Linked DNA regions of Drosophila melanogaster. The protein of the gene in region 3 interacts with the protein of the main gene of each other region in a pairwise test. Each region holds a gene or a part of one and is shown on either strand. Other genes may lie near its edges. The genes, in order: vimar, sov, toy and lov.

Evidence for each region.
Region 1: the proteins of toy (region 3) and vimar interact in a two-hybrid assay, tested with the Drosophila melanogaster proteins (one large-scale study listed by BioGRID).
Region 2: the proteins of toy (region 3) and sov interact in a two-hybrid assay, tested with the Drosophila melanogaster proteins (one large-scale study listed by BioGRID).
Region 4: the proteins of toy (region 3) and lov interact in a two-hybrid assay, tested with the Drosophila melanogaster proteins (one large-scale study listed by BioGRID).

What each region holds. Positions count from the first base shown.
Region 1 is NT_033778.4:6,982,671-6,987,479, reverse strand, and holds the start of vimar (visceral mesodermal armadillo-repeats), read left to right. Parts: upstream 1-1,767; 5' UTR 1,768-2,061; coding exon 2,062-2,068; intron 2,069-4,493; exon of another isoform or gene 4,494-4,771; coding exon of another isoform or gene 4,772-4,809. Other genes in the region: CG17002 (uncharacterized protein), read right to left, coding at 547-646, 704-1,135; CG30156 (uncharacterized protein), read left to right, coding at 4,772-4,809. UniProt on the Drosophila melanogaster protein: Probably acts as a GEF (guanine nucleotide exchange factor) for the Rho family of small GTP-binding proteins (G proteins) that stimulates the dissociation of GDP to enable subsequent binding of GTP.
Region 2 is NC_004354.4:6,754,588-6,759,378, forward strand, and holds the start of sov (small ovary), read left to right. Parts: upstream 1-1,734; 5' UTR 1,735-2,113; intron 2,114-4,022; exon of another isoform or gene 4,023-4,791. Other genes in the region: CG14439 (uncharacterized protein), read left to right, coding at 1-524, 585-856.
Region 3 is NC_004353.4:988,069-992,766, forward strand, and holds the start of toy (twin of eyeless), read left to right. Parts: upstream 1-1,656; 5' UTR 1,657-2,183; coding exon 2,184-2,434; intron 2,435-3,997; coding exon 3,998-4,178; intron 4,179-4,698.
Region 4 is NT_033778.4:25,136,610-25,141,360, reverse strand, and holds the start of lov (jim lovell), read left to right. Parts: upstream 1-1,733; 5' UTR 1,734-1,819; coding exon of another isoform or gene 1,820-1,920; intron 1,921-1,972; coding exon of another isoform or gene 1,973-2,297; intron 2,298-2,349; coding exon of another isoform or gene 2,350-2,700; exon of another isoform or gene 2,701-2,734; intron 2,735-4,751. Other genes in the region: CG43106 (uncharacterized protein), read left to right, coding at 1,820-1,920, 1,973-2,297, 2,350-2,700. UniProt on the Drosophila melanogaster protein: Has a regulatory role during midline cell development.

The DNA.
Region 1 (4,809 bases), on a different chromosome or scaffold from region 3:
AATCGGTGATTGTATCGCACCTTTAGCCAATGCCAATTTGCAGTTGAATTTTAAAACTCGAGCTATCTGCTAGAAACCCTATATATATCGTTTCTACACTATATATCCTTCAAAATAATAGGGTAATTTTTGTGCACATTAAAACACATTAAACTAAACCATCCAATACAAAGCCTAAACAGCACGAAACTTTCTTTATATCGAATTGATTATTTACTTAACACTTAACCATGTTTTTGCAATCATTCCTAATTAGAAGTTCAATTGATATTAGTGCTAATATTTCATAGAGCTTAAAAAAGGGCTTGGCAATCAGAATGTAGAGATGATGACATCACAAAAATCACGTATATCTCTCGTCCAAATCAAGAACCATACATATGTGCTAACCAATTCAATGACTAATCAAATTATGAGCAGATCCCGCATTCGAGTTAACAAAATCCAACCGAAATTGCGTGCATGAGACTTTGGACTGCCTGCCTGAGGCAGCGTTCACTGTATCGGAGGCCCAGGGACCACATTGTCGACCTCTTCCTGGCTTACTCTGCTGGGCGTAGCTGGCGGCGCTCTTGTAGTAAGCCTGCTGCTGACTCGGCGGCGATGGACTCCTGCCACGTTTTCCTGGCTGTCCGCCGGACGGGAGCTGCGAGGAAAAAAGAGGACCATTAGAACCTGAATCCCACAATTGCGCAGTCGAGACCTTCTGCATCAGCGTATGGTGCTGGTGTTGGAGGCGCAGGGGCGGCAGGAAGACCGGGCTACTGGCCGCCGCCTGCTGGATGGCGAACAGTTCGTTCTCCTTGGCCAGCTTCTTGCGCGTTTCGTCCTCGTTGAGCACCTTCTTGAGTTGGACGGTCAGCTGATGCTTCTGGCTGTGCAGATCGGCCAGCTGCTCGTCCAGTCGGGTTATCTGGCCGCGTGTGTCATCCAGGGCCACCTGGTTCTGGCGCTCCACCTCCTCGCGCTCCCGTCGCAGCCGCTGCTCCTCGCACTGAGCCTCGAACTCCTCCTGGCGCCGCTGGCGGTCCGCCACGATGAAGCCCTTCAGTGCCCCGCGCAGCTTCTCCGCCCGCTCGGCCTTCGCCGCCTGGGCGGCCGCGTTGCTGTTGTTTACCGCTGATGCTGGCGGCATCTTTGTGCTCTGCTTAGTTATCTTGCCAATTTTATAAGCGTTCGTGGACGACCGGGCAATCGCGACTGTTTGACCGAACCGACCGAGAGGCTCCCCAAATGGAATGGCGTGCTGGTGGCGGTGGGCTGGAATCCGGGTGGACACCGCTACGGGAATCAATGGTTGGGCGTCTTGGGATCACTGCAAATGCTCGACGCCGGGCTGCACTTTATTTTCGTTCACTTTCAGCACGGTTTTTTGTGGTAAACAATTTGTTGAGTGAGTGGGATGTGCCGACCAGTGTTGCCACCAATCGATTAATGGGCAAAGCTAGCTAGAAAATAGCTACTTTCCGATTGTGGTGGCAAATCTTAAGTTAACGTTCGAACTAAATCACTTATAAAGAATTCGATTTTTTCTTTAAAGCTTATATTCCTAATATTACTAGTCACACCCCAGAATTTAATATAAAATACAAATAGTTTCAACACTGATCGATACTTATCGATAACTTTTTGGAAACAGATTATAGTTTTTGGAAAATCCAAGCATTAAAGTCTAGACATTCTAGAAATGTCTATCGATGTTAATAAAATGCGTAAGCATCGATATGGCATCTCTCATTGGAGGTATCGTGCAGCTCGAGCTCTGCGGTCACACTAGAATTGCAGTTGTTGGTGTGAACGTCTGAACGCGATTCGGAAAATACGGATTACACGGATAATACGAATTATACGGATATTGCGGAAGTTGAACGGAGACGCGACTGAAAGAAAGCCGTGAAATGTGTTCAGTTGCGCGCAGCAGTCATTAGCCTATCAGCAGTGTTTGTTACAAGCTAACAGTGATACAACGTGCCTGGAATCGCAACCAACGCAGAGCAAGAAAAGCAGAAAAGCATAAAAACGGAAGAAGCAGCAGCGGAATAATCAACAAAGGCGGCAAACATGGCGAGTGAGTAACATCGAGCATTTCTCTGCCTATGGAGCATCCCAAACGACATACAGCAGACCCCGGATTCCTTTTCCATAGCATAAACAAACGCAATTCATGCGAGTCATTGCAGCGGCCGTTTTATGGCTGCAGTGCAGCATTTACGAGCTGCGAAAACTTCCAAATCGCTGCCAGGTGTCGGAGGAAGTTGCTCCGAGCAGGGGCAGTGGGGTGGGGGCGGGCGATGCGGCTCCCTAGACAAGATGTGTGTGTTTGCCGGGGACATGTGAGAAAAATCAATACTTATGCTCCCCACTCCCCATCCCACTGCACAGTGGGCCGGTCGGATTAGGCAGATGCCGTGCTCCTGCTGCTGTGCGCACCCACTTATCGCGGCCAACAGGGTCAGCGCTTCCCAATCAGAAATCCCGCTCTTTTATCCTTTAATGGCCCCGGCAGTTCTGGCGGGAATTAAGTGCGGCTGAGACAGCGGCCACCACCGTTTTGCACGAACCCGCCACCCGAGCCGCCCACTCCACCGCAGCACAGGAGGAATAGGAATGGGAACTGGGAACAGCAGTGACGACGCATTAATAAATGAGAATATGCCTCCTGCGAGGTGCCAGGTTTACCGGCGTGTCGCAACACTCCCCGCAGTCCTCACAATTCGTTTTATCCCCACGGGGGGTGATATAGCAAACAAAACGATGAAGTCATGCACAGTGAGAAATCTATGGCAACTTTGTTGAATTGTTGATAAACATTACAATTAGGACAATCTTCACAGATTAAGCTTAAAAGGGCTTAAAATTCGATACTACTTTGCAGTCAAAGCGCAGTCATTGTCAAGATAAAGCTGTGACTAACTAAAAGAAACCCCTTTTTTTCTTGTGTTTCTCAGTGTAGTTGGATGTGTAACGTACGCACTGGATGTGTTATATTTGGGTCAGTCACCGATGAGAATTGTTAAACGTAAACAAGTCTCTAAACTTCTTAGTTTTCAAACGTGACTGCACCGAATCAACACATACATAAACACTGGCCACAGACTGTACTGTTTGTATACCCTTTCCCGAGGGGAACCTGTGCAGAACGACAACAAACAGCACTTGAACGCGCCGGCAATCCCGGCCTCGAAACTTCCCCTTTTTCAGGAGGGGTGCTGCATCCCAATCCCCACACCACTGTACACCTCACTTGTCTACAGAACCCACCAGCTGCGCCCAGCGTAGCGAGACCCATTTCCACACTGAAAACAATTCGTGGTTCTTGTTCATTTTAATTCATATGCAAGCACTGGGAAACTTGCGCTGAATATATGATTTTCAAGACCTGTCATTCGGAGCATTCATTAAGTGTTACATAAGTTTTATACCTGAAGTATAGTACATTGAAATACTATTCGACATTACTATAGATTGTTTTGAAATCTAATGAAAGGACATCTATAAAATTCAAGGATGCAGGCCATTGGACCGTTGCGGCATGATTTACTCGCTGTGCAGATCCCAGCTGCGAGATGCTTGCCACGTCCTCCCTGCGGCTCAGTCACTTTGGACTTTAATTGGTCCTTTGTGACTGCATTTGTCGACGCTTTCGCTCGGCGTCTTCGACGCAATTTGACTGCTGTCCTTGAGGCTGTGGCTACCATCAACCCCGAGGCTGGGAGTCTGATAAGGAAGAGGATATCAGCTGCCAAAGCAGGCCGCTCCCCTCGCCAGATTCCAGATTCTAGATTCCGGAGCTGCTGCCTCTTTATTGTTATTGTTATTATTTTGGGCTTTTCCATTCGTTCCACGCAGCTTACCCAGATTAGCTGGCTGTTATTGTAGTTTGCCCGGCTTCGAATTTATTGTCCTTTTCCACCTCCTTCTTGCGTATTCCGGCGTCGTTGCTTCATTTGCTTCAAATCTAGCTGGGTGACTTGTGATTTCCCCGTGCCTAGCGCCTTCCACTCGCTTTATTCTTTTAACTGCTAATAAGATTTTGGCCCTTCTAATGGCCTTGAGAATGAATGGGGCGAGCAGGCCGCCTTGAAAAGATGAAATTGTGGGGTGGTTGGTGGCTAGCTCTGTTTTAATTGAGTTCGTGCCCTATTCAAATTGGCATAGAAATTAATTTCAATTAACTTTCGAGTCTTTTCGAGGAGGCTATGTGTGTCCCCTTGACAAGTTGTGGAGCATACTTTACGGGGCCAAAAGAGGGTTGGCATTTTGGGGAATCCCCCATCGACAGAACGTTCTAACTTGTGTGCTTCAAGTGTGCAACTTGTGTGCAAACTTTTAGTTTTTTCCGCTCTAAACTAAGCAACTTGTACAACTTGTGTCAACTTTTAAGTTGGTAAATTCGTTGGTATTTACACGAGTACTGCATGATTTAAATGTTCAATAAGCTGGCTGGTATGTAAAAAACGGATTCAAGTTGTCTTTTCTCAAGTGTTCATTGTGTTGACATACAAAATGTTGACTGGCGAAAGTCAATTTGTATTTAAGTTTGCAGCTACATATACATATACAGTCAACTTAGTTCGAAACTATTTCGGCTACCTCTAATATACATACAAAAGCACTTTGTTAAATTCACCAACTCGGTGGATTGTCCCAGAACAACAAACCAAAATTTAAAATTTGCAAACGAACAGAGAAAAACGAATCCTTTTTTGTCTTCTCACGCTGCTGGGAAGGAGAAGAAAGTAACCAAGAACTGGAGGACGACGACTTCACAATGGGAATCCTGCAGGCGAGGAGGCATCACTGCGTCGA
Region 2 (4,791 bases), on a different chromosome or scaffold from region 3:
TCCGGCAATGATCATGTTGATGATTGCCGCGTCCATCCGTCACTGCGGTGGCATGACCTTTGCCTACAACGCCGATCTCTACTACAACACGTACTTCCCCGACGTGGACTTGGGCTGGTGGCTCTTTGGGGTCACCATTGGCATTGGCAGCGTGGGTGTGGTCGTCGGTGGCATTGTGTCGGACAAGATTGTCGCCAAGATGGGCATTCGATCACGCGCCTTTGTATTGGCTGTTAGCCAGCTAATTGCCACACTACCAGCCTTCGGATCGGTCTACTTTGACCCGCTGTGGGCCATGATCACGCTGGGCCTGAGTTATTTCTTCGCCGAGATGTGGTTCGGTATTGTCTTTGCCATTGTTGTGGAGATTGTTCCGCTGCGCGTTCGCTCCTCGACCATTGGCGTCTTTCTGTTTGTGATGAACAACATTGGCGGCAACCTGCCCATCCTGGTGGATCCGGTGGCCAAGATCCTGGGCTATCGCGGTTCGATCATGATCTTCTACGCTGGATTCTACGGCATCAGTAAGTCGGCTTGATCTGGCCACTTTTGGATACCAATATTACTAACACCTCTGGTCACAGGTTCTATTCTCTTCTTCATCACCTGTTTCCTGCTGGAAGGCAAGCCTGATGAGGTGGGACAGCCGGAGTCGCCGAAGAGCCATCCGGATGCCGTGCTCAATGCTCGCCACATGCACGGACACGACAACTCCGTGTTCTCCGTGGACGAGACCTTGCCCTCCAACGGACGTCCTGCCCAACTTCCGCAGCATCTGCAGATGTCCAGCAATGGATACGACAAGTCCCAGATTTCTCCGCCACGACAAAATGGCGCGGAGAGCAGTAGACTATAGATTAGCTTAAGCTCCGGAGTGTTTTTTTTTTTTTATTAATTAATATTATGCAATTTTTATGTTAGGTTGTTAAGATACCTGCTTCAAATTCGGCTAACTGATAATTCGATATCTGCTTTACATCAGATATCAGTTCTTAACAAATATGCCCGAATCCGGAGCAGGTGTCCTTGCACCCAGCAATCATAGGCCTAAGCGATGGATCCCCGAGATTCCCGCAACACTGTATTTTTAGCGCGATAACTGTGTACTTAATTCGCCAGGCGATTACAAGTGTACAACTTTAATAAAGTGCTGTTTTGTTAACATAAATTGAGTTCGACACTCGCGACACTTTCAGCTAAATCAGAGGTGCTTTGAATTGTGAAATTGGCAGAAAAAGTTGAACAAAGGATAGTGCTGCCCTTATATTGAAGGAAAACAAAATTTGGATGCGGCTATAAAAAACCTTAGACCATATTCCTACACTGCCAAAAACCAAATAATAGCAGTTAAATACGAACCTTATATGCCACGCCAATCTCCCAGGTAAGACACCTCCGGATCCACCGGTTGAACCACAGACATATTAACACCCACATATCCTTCGCCACCCATCCATCTCCCTTTAAAACAGCTTTCATTTGTATATAAATAAATTTTTCACTTTCACTCTAAACCGAAATTCTATTTAAATCCTAATTATAAATATAAAAAAAATCAAGATGCTATCTTTAAAATTGTAATTAATACCAAAATTTCCGGCTTTTTACCCATAGTGCAACGTACCAGTTTCCTTCAGTATGACCATGTTGCATCTAAGCCAAAAAGTTTTGTTTGTCCATAACCATCGATAGCTATCGATAACTAACTTAATAAAATAGTTGCATGTATGACAACAACATCAAAGTACGTGGCTTAATTTCTTTCATTTCTATGCCTTATGGCCAGCTCCTTCGAGTAACATCTACAAAAAAATAAGAAAAATTTTCTCCCCGAAACGAAAAACCCTAGTTTTTCCCAACTTTCACTTACGACGAAAATCATCGCGGCGAATTGCAGACACGTAGCCTTGGCAGAGTGAGCATTTTGCTCTGCTATTCGTGTCTATCGTATTCGCCGGCAATTGCGCATTGTGAGACACGGGCATAGTTCCCTCACTTCGGCGTCAACTTTGGAAGTGTTCGGATCGGCTCGTATTTCGACACCTCCGCAGACAAGGCCAAATTGCTGAGCATCGCACAAAACTCCAGAAATAACGGAGGAAAGTAATCTAAAGTGAGTACAGTTGAATATTACTAATCAAGTGGTAGTTGTAATAACGGGAATGTGCATCAACGACGAAAACAAAAACGAATTGTAGAGGCCAGCAAAAAAGTCGTGCTCTTGTTTGTCTTTGTGTTCGTTTGAGTTTGCGTCTTATGTGGACGAGCTTTTGCGACTGTGTTTGTGTGTGTGTGTCTGCATAAGTGTTCCGCAGAACTTATCGTGTGAAGAATCCAACCGCCGTTTATATAAACATTCTTCCATAAATCATTTCTCGGACGAGAGCGGAAAGGACGTTTACAATCAATAATGGCGTATTGCGAGCTCTACTATGAAAAGTGGATTTAAGTTAATCGCGTAATGATAACTTCGTTTCTTTAAATGTTTATACACACATTACTAACGTTACTAACTTTTTTTTTTAAGTACTGTGGTGGAAGGAAACTCTTCTGACCTTATGTAGTACATAGGATTTTAACCATGACTATTATGTCCGTTTTTCTGTCCGTATGAACGACCTAAAAAGCTGAGATAGGAAACACATTCTAATGACGAAAACGCGACACAATGATTCGATACCAACGGTCAAGGTAGTGCCAAAGACAAGATGCGTAACGCTATACGATTTTTTGGCACACTATTTTTTCGCCATGGCTCTAGAGGTGGCTCCAGGCTCTCTCGATTTTTTGTTCGAGAGCGAGAGAGCGGAGAGCGCTACAGCAAACAGCTCTTTTCTACGCATACAGTGATAGTTATTATAGTGTGTTTGGTAGTGCGCACTAGCGCACTAAAGGCTGAATGCTACATTTGTGTCGCCAAAAACCGATGTTTCAAAAGTCCAAAATACAAAGTGACCCACTTTTTCTAAATCGTTGGAGGAGAGAATTCTGTAGTCAAATCCCCGACTATCAGATACCCGTTACTCAGCTAGTGTGAATGCGAACGCGAAATTTCATCATTTTTCTGGGATATCGAAAGATATTGGGGAATAAAATGAGAAAAAATTTTCCCAAAGTGACCGTATTGGCGGCTTTATGGCGTTAGAGTGGGCGTGGCCAAAAGTTGTTTGCCAAACCGATAGAAATTTACAAGTCTAATAAAATTATGAACAAATTTCGAAAAAAAGGTTCAAAAGCGTGGGCAATTTTTTGCGGTTTGTGGGCGTTAGAGTGGACGTGGCAACATGGGTCAACAAACTTGCGCTCCGTCCATGTCTCTGGAATCTGTATGTTGAATCTCAACCTACTAGCTTTTATAGTTTCTAAGATGTCGACGTTCATACGAACATACGGAAATGGCCAGATCACCTCAGCTATTAATCCTGATTAAGAATATATATATTTTATATAGTCGGAAAGGCTTCAATCTGCCTGTTACATACTTTTCAACGAATCTAGTACCCTTTTACTCTTCAAGTAACGGATATAATAAAGAAATAGAATAGCAAGGATGATCTGTATAATTTTTAGAACTTGTAAAAGGCAACGAGAGTTACTTTGTCACAAAATATGGATACCTTGCCACATACTTTATTTTTAGGAAAAAGAAAACTACTTGAGAGTATCAGATTTGGAAAATGAAAGGCACTTCTGACCTTTTTTTTTTAATAATATCTGTAAATGCACAAATAAATGCAGTGATTACTCACTATGTGCATAAAATACTTATTTAAATCAAGCTTAAAGTAAATGCTTATACGTTTTAAGCATAGCAAATGGACTTTGATAGCTGATAGATAAAAGAATCAAGCTAAGTTCCGTATTCTATCCACAAGAACACCGATTGGTTCATTCGTAAAGGAATGTAGTCGTTTTGCTGAAAAAATCCCATCGCTACTCGAGGGTTACCATTTGTTGTTGGTTTTGCGTGGACTGAGTACTTTGACCTTGTACTCTACCTACTACAATGAAACCACAAAAGTAAACATGGATATTTTATTCCTCAAATGAAAGAAATGATGATAGTGCTACAGTAATAGTTATCAAGGATAAGAACAACATGCTTCCGTCGTTGCGAACACATTTTCAGATTATGTACTAGACCTTCCTGTGCTCCAACCCTATTGATTTATATTAAAAATCAAGGTCATAATAAGGATCGCGATTGGCTTGGTTTATATCAGCTGGTGTATCAAGACTTAAATGGCACACAGTGTTTGGTATTCGCCGATCGACGAACCAGACCATGAGTCGTGTTAGAAGTATTGTTCGTAATACTGTGAAGTGGCGCCTACTAAATATGTTTTGTGTGTTGGAAGAGTTCAAACTGAAACGGTACATAAGTTTAATTATCCCATTATCCCATACAGATATATTGTGATAATGCGGGTTAAATATGATTAATGATCAACAATAATAGGGTTGGATGGTTTCAGTGTTGCTCTTCTAGGCGGTCTGTTCTGTACTCTCGATCAGCGCGTACTGCCACGTCGATTTAGAATTCTTGGCTTCCTTGGGCTTTTAGATATGCGCAAGAGTCGAGTCGCTGAAAGTTTAAATGTGTGTGTGTGTGCGTGTGGTCATCGTTTCGTAGAAAACTAGGTAGACGCTTCCCGTTTATATTATTATTGTGCTATCTGCTTCGTTCTGTAGGTACGGGATTTGTGGACGGCGTATGTATGGAATGTGCTTATGTCTCATGTTTGCTGTTTTATTTACGCTATCGATCGCAACGTCGAAAGATTGTTTAGT
Region 3 (4,698 bases):
ACTTGAGCCGCGTCTATGTCTCTAATCTATATGCCTAATCTCAACCTGTTAGCTTATATATTTCCTGAGATTTCGACGTTAATACGGACGGATAGGGCTAGATCGACTCGGCTAGTGGCCCTGACCAAGAATACAGATACTTTATGTAGGCGCTTCCTTCTGACATTCTATTTTACACATTGATAAAGATATTGAAATTAAAAAAACATCAAACAAAATGTAGGCTTTAGAGTAGACGTGGCTAAATTATTGTTTAGCATATCGATAGAGACTCTACTAGTAAGTAGGTACGCAAGAAAAATCAAATATCATGAGTGCAAAATTTAATGGTTATATGCATTTGTTGCAGCCCAGACACTACGCTAAATAATATAAATTAAGGTATTTTCACACATTCCAGGAAAATCAGATTCGTCACCTTTACAATGCGCCATGAAATTTTTGGCACACGCAATAGGAATGACAAAAAGGCGATTCAAGAATATGCCCCTTTGAAGAAGCCCAGCACACTGGATGCCGGCACTACAATAATGGAAATTGTGGTGGAAGGGGAAATAGATTCGTTGATGCGTGTGACTTCAAAAATCCAAAAAACGTGTCGGACAGGATGTTGAGAGCAAGTAAGCTCAGTGGTGGCTTTTTGGGGTGGTTTAGGTTTTGAATGCTGTTACTTGGGGGTTTAATTTCTGTAAATAATAGATATCGAAAATGTAAATACAAGCAGAAGTAGCAGAACAGACAATTTATGTATTTACATATTTAATATTTTGTATAGATATACAACAAAAAATTTACAAATACTAAATACTCTTTAAAGTTAACAATACAAACTTCATCTCAAGCCCAAGTCACGCAGATCACGCTACAGGTAAGGCAAGGCATTTTGAACTCCTGATACTGTTTGACCTTCCTGAATACGTTTTTATTGCTGTTCAATTTTAAATTTAAATTAAAACTAATAAAATGCACTCATAGTTTTTATATGTGAATGTATTTTTGTATATTAACACAACCGACATCAGAAATATAATAATACTTAACGTAAAGATGGGGAATTGATACAGGGCAATAAATAACTAGTCGTTCTATACTTTTTTAAAACAAAGGTATGGCAAACGATTAGATTGTATGTTATTCAGAATGATCAGATTCTTAAACTTTTGGATACATGGTTATATAATCAAATATTTTAGGGATTAAGTGCATTAAACATGATAAAATATCATCACAACCAAACATATGCATACAATGATGAATAAGACTTACACATATACACAACCATCTATGTTTATATAAATTCAGTTTTATTTTCCAGCGTTATTATCGCTGAATCCATAATGTTAAAGTTGCCCACGATATATTTAACAACCAACCAAAACTTCAAAAAGATTTTCAAGCGGATAGGGTACACTTTTCTTTCTTCCATAGCCGTCTCTTTCCTACGCAACTCCTATTTGCCAGATGTGCGCACGATGGATTTTGTTGTAATGCCTCTCTTCCTCATGTCTCTATAGCTATCTCTTTTCACGGCACGGAAAACAGCAACGTTGTTAGCTATCGCTGACTGCAAATGAAAAGAGACAACTAGAGCAACGCCGCCAAAATGGCTGGCCGATGTGTTAGCCGTTGCTCTTGCCAGTGTTTTTTCGCATGAGAGCTCATTAACGTTTCGCTTGGCTAAGTGCGCACCTCGTCACTGAAACCAGTTAGCAAAAGAAATTTTTGTTCAAGCTTAAACCGATACCTACGTCACTATTCGATCATTTTGAATGCAAATTATTCCCAGATTAATAAACTAGGTCGCCATCCGTGGCGCTGCCGCCGGGCTGCGGACCCGTACTTTCGACGGAAAATATCGGGACCATTTTCATAAACGATCTATGATACAGTTTTAAAACACTTTAACGCTTTCCATCGTGCACACTTAAAACAAAACTCATAAAGTGAAAGTTCATATCCTGGCAAGTAAAAAGTGATAAATGTTAAAACGTCTGAAGTGATAGTCTGGAGTTTGATTACCAGGTGAAGAAGATAATATATATGGGATGTACAAAGTTGGCAACGAAGCCCCCCTTCTAACAACAATGAAAAAGGGAGTAATCCTACTTTCTCACTTTCAATAATAAACATACGCACGTCAGCCACCGTCGAAGTCTCCAACGCCGCATTAAAAATAATTAATTATGATGCTAACAACTGAACACATAATGCATGGGCATCCCCACTCGTCAGTCGGGCAGAGTACTCTATTTGGGTGCTCCACGGCGGGCCATAGCGGAATAAATCAGCTGGGCGGCGTATATGTTAATGGCCGGCCACTGCCCGATTCAACGCGTCAAAAAATTGTCGAATTGGCTCATTCCGGCGCACGTCCTTGTGATATTTCAAGAATACTACAAGTGTCCAACGGTTGCGTAAGCAAAATTTTGGGCAGGTGAGGCATTTCGAGTGCATAATGACATTTTCTTAACTAAACAGGAACTACGAAAGTAGCCTCCAACAAACAAACTGCTCAGCTAAAATTTCTGACTTCGGACTTTATTATATAAGCACTGCGTTTAAACCAGGGAGTGATATTAAATTTGGAAAATATGAAAGATTCGATTATTATACCCGTTACTCAAAGAGTCAAAAGGTATATTAGATTTGTTGAAAAGTATGCAACAGGAAGAAGGATGCGTTCCCGACCATATGAAGTATGTATATATTCCGTCTGTCCGTATGAATGTCTCGATCTCAGGAACTATAAAAGCTAGATGGTTGGAATTAGGCATACTGATTGTAGAGATATGGACGTAGCGCAAGTTTGTTGACCCATATTGCCAACACTTTTAAAAAAAGTGTTGATTTTTAATCGTTTTATTGTTTGTCTTCTATCGGTATACCAAAAACACTTTCGCCACACCCCTTCTTACACCAACAAAACGCAAAAAACGGATCCCAGAAAAATAACACAATTTTGCTTTCGTATTTAGTCGTATAGTCGGGGAATTCGACTATAGCATTCTCTCTGTTTTTGGTAAGTTAATGGCCTTACTAACGTTTCAGTAGTTTCTATATGCATAAGATCCGAATGCCTCCTAGTCTATTTCGTATCAACTAACCAATGATCGTAAGACTGCGTATGATTAAAGAGAACTTGCTTAGCATCTGTTTTGCGAGTAGCCAAATTTGTTTGTTGGAAGAACCTCTTTACGGCGTTATTGGTGTCCGTATTGCAAGTGCTGTCCATTGTACAACACTAACAAATACATTTCTCCCCTGGCTTCTAATTAATACTTATGTTATTTTGTTTAGCATATATTCTATATTCAATCCTATATGCCATTCGCAAAATATTTATATACCGGCTGCATTTAACTAATTTAATGTCTACAACTGAAAGTGTTGACTGTTGACGCTGAGGTTTGCTTATAGTTTTTATTATCTCGACGCTAAACATTTCGACGGCGTTTAGCATTGTCACCACTAATGAATCGCTGCGCTTTTCTTTTTACAAGTTGCAGCTCGCATTTACAAGCACTGCACTCCGAATTGTTTTTTTGTGCTCATCTAACATTTTGGAAAGAGGATTTTTCAATCAATACTAGAGGAATGTCCTTTTTTACTTTACTATAAGCACTGCTCTTCCCGAGAATATTTACGGCTTTCGACTACTAAGTTACATAATTGGAACTAATCAGATATTAGCAGTTCTATTATAAATACTTTAGAGTAAGAAAATCAATGATTTTCGTAATATGAAAATTTGAAATCAGGCCCCCATCCCAATCTCTCATTGTGTGACTCTGATTATTGAAACACATTCACCATTTATGATCATAATACATAAAAATCAAAATCATATCTTAAGAAGAACGTATTTTTAAATTCTCTGTTCTTTGCAAAATAAGAAAATATACAGCCAAATCTAAATTGATTGTATATTCATTGTTTATTCTATTATCTACTTTTAATGACTACTCAGATAAAATGTAAATAAGTTTATTTTTTTTAGATATTATGAAACTGGATCGATAAAACCTCGAGCTATAGGTGGTTCAAAGCCACGAGTAGCTACAACCCCGGTTGTGCAAAAAATTGCAGATTACAAACGGGAATGTCCCAGCATATTTGCGTGGGAAATACGAGATCGACTGCTATCGGAACAAGTTTGCAATAGTGATAACATTCCAAGTGTAAGTTATATTTTGCGCACATAATAATATTTCTGCACGTGCTAATAAAAGTTCTAACATACCATTTTAAGCGTTTTCGATCCTTAAAAATATATATGTATATTCATGATCAGGATCTAGGACCAGTCCGTACCTCTCTTTCTGTCTTACGTTAAAAATTTTAGAAGTTTAAAGCTGAAAGATTGTTTCAAACTAACTTTCTAATAGAGCCTTATAGCTTTAAGCTATTTATAGTTGTTTTCCTGTTCTCTTAAAAACTCTGATCTGACTAATAAAAGTTCTAACATACCATTTTAAGCGTTTTCGATCCTTAAAAATATATATGTATATTCATGATCAGGATGGATCTAGGACCAGTCTGTACCTCTCTTTCTGTCTTAAGTTAAAAATTTTAGAAGTTTAAAGCTGGAAGATTGTTTCAAACGAATTTTCTAATAGAGCCTTATAGCTTTAAGCTATTTATAGTTGTTTTCCTGTTCTCTTAAAAACTCTGATTAATGATACAGTTACTCGTAGAGTA
Region 4 (4,751 bases), on a different chromosome or scaffold from region 3:
ACTACACGAAGCCGCCAAGAAACCGAAGACTTTCTGCAAACCGTCACAGGGGGATCTGCACTTTGCGCCTGAAAACCGGTTTGAAAGACCTCTTTACGAAACTTGGCTTCGATTGCATTTTTATTTCTGGTTTCAGTTTCGTAGTCCACCGATTACCATGTGATTTCCTACACCGCAACCCACCCCACCCCATCAAAATCACCCTCCACATCTCAAGCCCCTTTCGGGAGTACGAGTATTTGTTGAAGCAATTTGCTTTCTTGCATCTTGTGGCTGACCGAGGCGACTGCGATGCAATCAATATATGCTCGTGTCCAGCAAATAATAGACTTCAAACTGGCATTTTAAAAGTTTTTTTTCATAGCCAAAGTCTCGAAGTACGAAGTGCGATTGAGCCTGGAAGGAGTCCGCCAAGCGTTTTGGGTCTACAATTCATTGCTCTTACCGAGGGCAGAACACTTTTCCCCTAAATGCTCACATAGTTAAACTTATGAAAAGTTCGCTTTGTGCTGCACTAACAGGGGCCTCCAACGAGGGCCAGCTCACTATCCCTAAAGACAGCAACAACGAAGATCACTGCTCAGCAGTACAGCTAGAACATCCTGTATATGTCATAGCAATGAACTCTAATCCACTCTAGTAAATCAATTTATTAGCCACGTATGACTTATGCCTTTTTAAATAAACGCTTGCATGCGTTCTCTAGTTTAAGTTTAAGGTTGAGCGATTATAGATTGGCCATCCCTCAAGGGCGGGCTGAGTCTCAAGATACTCTTAAATAGAGGAGGCACAAGATATTTATGTTAACATGGCCTGCGTAGTAATTTGGCATTGTTGAGGTATCACGATTACGATACGACTTTAATTGTAGTAAAATACGAGCAATCGTATATGTGCTTTGCAATAGTGGCTTCGGTGCAAGCCATGATTATCTCTACTTTAAGATATGTGTGCACAAAAAATACAGTTATTTGAAAACGTTTAGCGTCAATAGTAAGAGTGTGAAATGACCTAGGCGAGTAATGCGTGCTCGTATCCGGATGAGAGTTCACTTATGGGTGCGTTTTGGTGACTTCGCAAAGCACTGCAAAAGTTAACAAACGGAGAAATATCAACAACATAGCTATATAAAACCAGTTGCCAAAAAAATGTGGTAAAAAATGCTTAGTTTATCTTGCTTAACTTTTTGTACAGCGTTTGCCTTTTCCGAGTATGCACACAAACGTTGAGGATAAATTGAAAAAGCCATTTTGCTGCCAATTTAGCAAACACTTAAACCAATTTTGCACTTCAATCCACCGACGCACACAAAAAAGGAGTGTCTCATACCTATACAGTTCCTATTCAGCTGAAGCCACACACTTGCACTTCTCGGATCCCAAGCGGATTCATGGAGCTTGCATCGACGCTGGCTTTGACGCTGTAACAAGGACGACCCAAAAGTCAGTTGCTGTGCCCCACAGGGAGGAAAGTGTAGGAAGCTTCCAAAACGTTGCCAACAAAGTGTGAAAATGTCAAGTCGTAAAGTGTCCACTGGCTGAGGGGACGCAGCGAGCGGTAGATGGGTGCAGTCTGTAAAGTGAAATGCCCTGACACCCATATCTGTTCGGGCAGTTTAAGTCAGCTTTGAGAGGAGTATCAACATTTAAAACAGGAGGACAATCGGTTATTATTGTCGCAAAGTTGATTTACAGAGAAACACAGCGTTTTGTAATATTAGAACTAACCCATTTTTACGCTCTACTCGAGAAATTAGTTAGCTTTGTATTAAAAGTCTGGTGCAATTAATGCTTTAGAATACTTTCAAATTTATCGAATAATGTCCTGTATTTGCCAATACCATGATCTCGGGGACATTGCCACCAGAGACCTAGTAGCGTTTCCTTTGCCTGCAAGTGACGACATGAGCGCTTTCAACGAGTAAGTGATAATTTAATTATCTTATCTTTTGTTACCACTGGACTTCTCTTAGGGTGAATAAAGAATCATTGGGGCATAATGCTGCTGAGATTAGATTGTCGGCCTCAAGTCTATCCGACTGCCGTGTAGAGAACTGGCTCCTTAAAAAGAAATTACGCGAATACGAAGTTACAATTGAGAACCTTGAGCAGTTGGTGACTACTATAGTTGAGAAGCAGCATCAAATTTTGAGCGAAATGTTTTCCTTACGCAAACAAAACCGAGAGCTGCAATCCGAGTGTCATCTTCAACGCGAGTATCACTCATTGGAAAGAAATGCCTTGATGAAGGAGCTGCATGACGCTCAAATCGTGTGTAGAAGTCGAAATCTGGATACGGTAAGTACAAACATAAAGAAACTAAGAGTGCATTTCTAAATGGGAAGCGCAGGCATGTCGATCAGATGAACATCAAGGTAGTGTAAGTTTGCCACCTGGGGACACGCTCCTTAAATCTGAATCCTCTTATGGTGATTTCGAAGAGGAAGACATGAGTGAATCGGACGACGGAGATCAGTGCGAAAAATGTTGGGTCGGCAATAATAAAGAGGATTTTGATGCTGGAGAAAATTACGCAGAGCCTTCAGCACTTAGTTCAGGTCAAAATTCTGGTAGGACATCACCGTCCTTATCAAGCTCAGTAACAGGGGACTCGGAATCGGCTGACGACAGATTTCTCAATAACATAAGCATTAATCAGAGCCTTACTAGTGATAGCGATCCGGAATATGCAGACAAATAATTACTACTTGATGCCTTTGAGTTTAAAGGTCTATATATTTTCTTTAATATAAAATTCAAATTATTTATAGACCAAACTTTCTACCGTGACTTTAAGTTGTCTTTCATGGCATTAAATAATCAAAACAAAAACGTGACAATCGCACAAATCAAATCAGCCATAAGTTTGACATAACGTGACGGTATCAGATTGTGTACAGACATGGCACTGCAAAGAAAAAACACGTCAATTGAGAAAAATAAGAGAATACCGACGCCCAAGTATTTGCATATTAAAACGCCAAAGGGCTGCAGAAAACCCGTTGCTAAAGTGCTCTCCTCGCCACCACACAAATATGATTGAATGGTAAGTAAATATATGTTCGCCAAAAGGGGAGTATTTAGATTACTGGCAAAAACGTGTTAAGTGTTTATCTATCGAAAAAGTTCAGGCCAAAACAGCTACCAGCCCTTTTGCAGCTTCTGGCATGACTATACATGGTTTGGGATTGGCCCCACACAAAGTTGTAAGAGAAGCGAGAATGTGTGCTTGTATTATGGGCAATTTATCAAACAGAAAGTTTTCAGCACAAATGAGTCGTGGCAAGGAAGCCGAAGGCCACCCGGGCACCCGTTTGCCAACAGGATTAATGAGTCTCGTGTGCTGCCTGTCCTATCCTACATCCTTGAAACCTGTCTCGCAGCACGTACCAATAATCTATTATGAGCCCTCTTCGAGAGGCAACTTGTGGAAGTTTTCGGGTTCTTTCCAAGATCGCTTGTCTTGGCTACGTTTTATGTGAAGATTTTTGATACTATATATGGGTGATAATATGAGACGTTATGACGTTTATCTCAGACTTGTAAGATGTTAAGCCAGAAACCACAGTTTTTCTGTTAGCATGAACAAAAGAGCATATTGCAATGCAATGTCAAAAACCTTAACTTTTCGTTGCTTGCCCTCAAGGACTTACACAAAAATAATTAATGACGAACGGCCTCGACTCAATGTAAATCGAGTCCGAAACTGTTTGCAATATCATTTATCAATTCAGAATTTTGTTTAGAAACTTGTTGCGCACAAAAAAGCTTTTCATGTACACGTGAGAAGGTACGAGGACTACCGCGGTAAAATGAATGGGATACGAGATGTGAAACCAAACAAGGCATTAAAGAAACACGCAAACATATTGAAATGCAATACCGTCTTGGCACTATAAACGCCTTGCGAATCGCATCATGATAGCTCCTGCATCAGAATCTTCTACGCCCCAAACAAGTAGCTTAAAATTGCGCGTAAGTGAGCATGGGTGCGTTTTTGAACCTTTGGTTCAGGCTACATCAAGACATATGAAACCAAAATGGTGCTAGTTGGTGGACGGTTGACTTTGTGAATATAGTTATTTTGGATAGTTATGTACAAGCGACCAACGCCGTCTTAATATTTTTATATTATGTTGTAGCAGGCTGCCTTGATCCGACGAAAATCGAATTTTCTGGATCAACGCCTACTTACTTACTCAACCGTAAAAATACATAAAACTTTTGCAAAAAAAAAAAAAAAGAAAACAAGGAAAAACCGTACTTGCGTGTTCTAAGCAATTTCAAACCAATAATCGTTGGGTGTCTTTTAAATTAAGTAACCAGAGCCATGCAAGCCAAATATGCCACATTGACATGTCTATCAATGCTGCTATGATGGCTTTGATGGGATGAGGGCAAGGACTTTTTGTTATTTTTTAATTTAACTAATCTAAAATTGGAATCATTTTATACTCAGCCCACAGGAAGTGTGGCATAACAGAAATAAAAGAAACCAATGAGTGATACATTGCGATTAATACAGGAGAGTACTATCCAATAAAGCAAGGCAGACCACATTTCATTTCTATTATACCGCGCTTTTCATATATGTATACATTTTACTTGGTTTAACACAAAAACCTGGCTGACAACTTTCTCAAAAATTTCTGGGTAGAGTTCAAAGGGGGTAAAATTTACTTCATACACCTTAATACATTCACCAGTTCATTTTATAGGGTTTCTCATGCATATTCAGAAAAGTATTTGTTT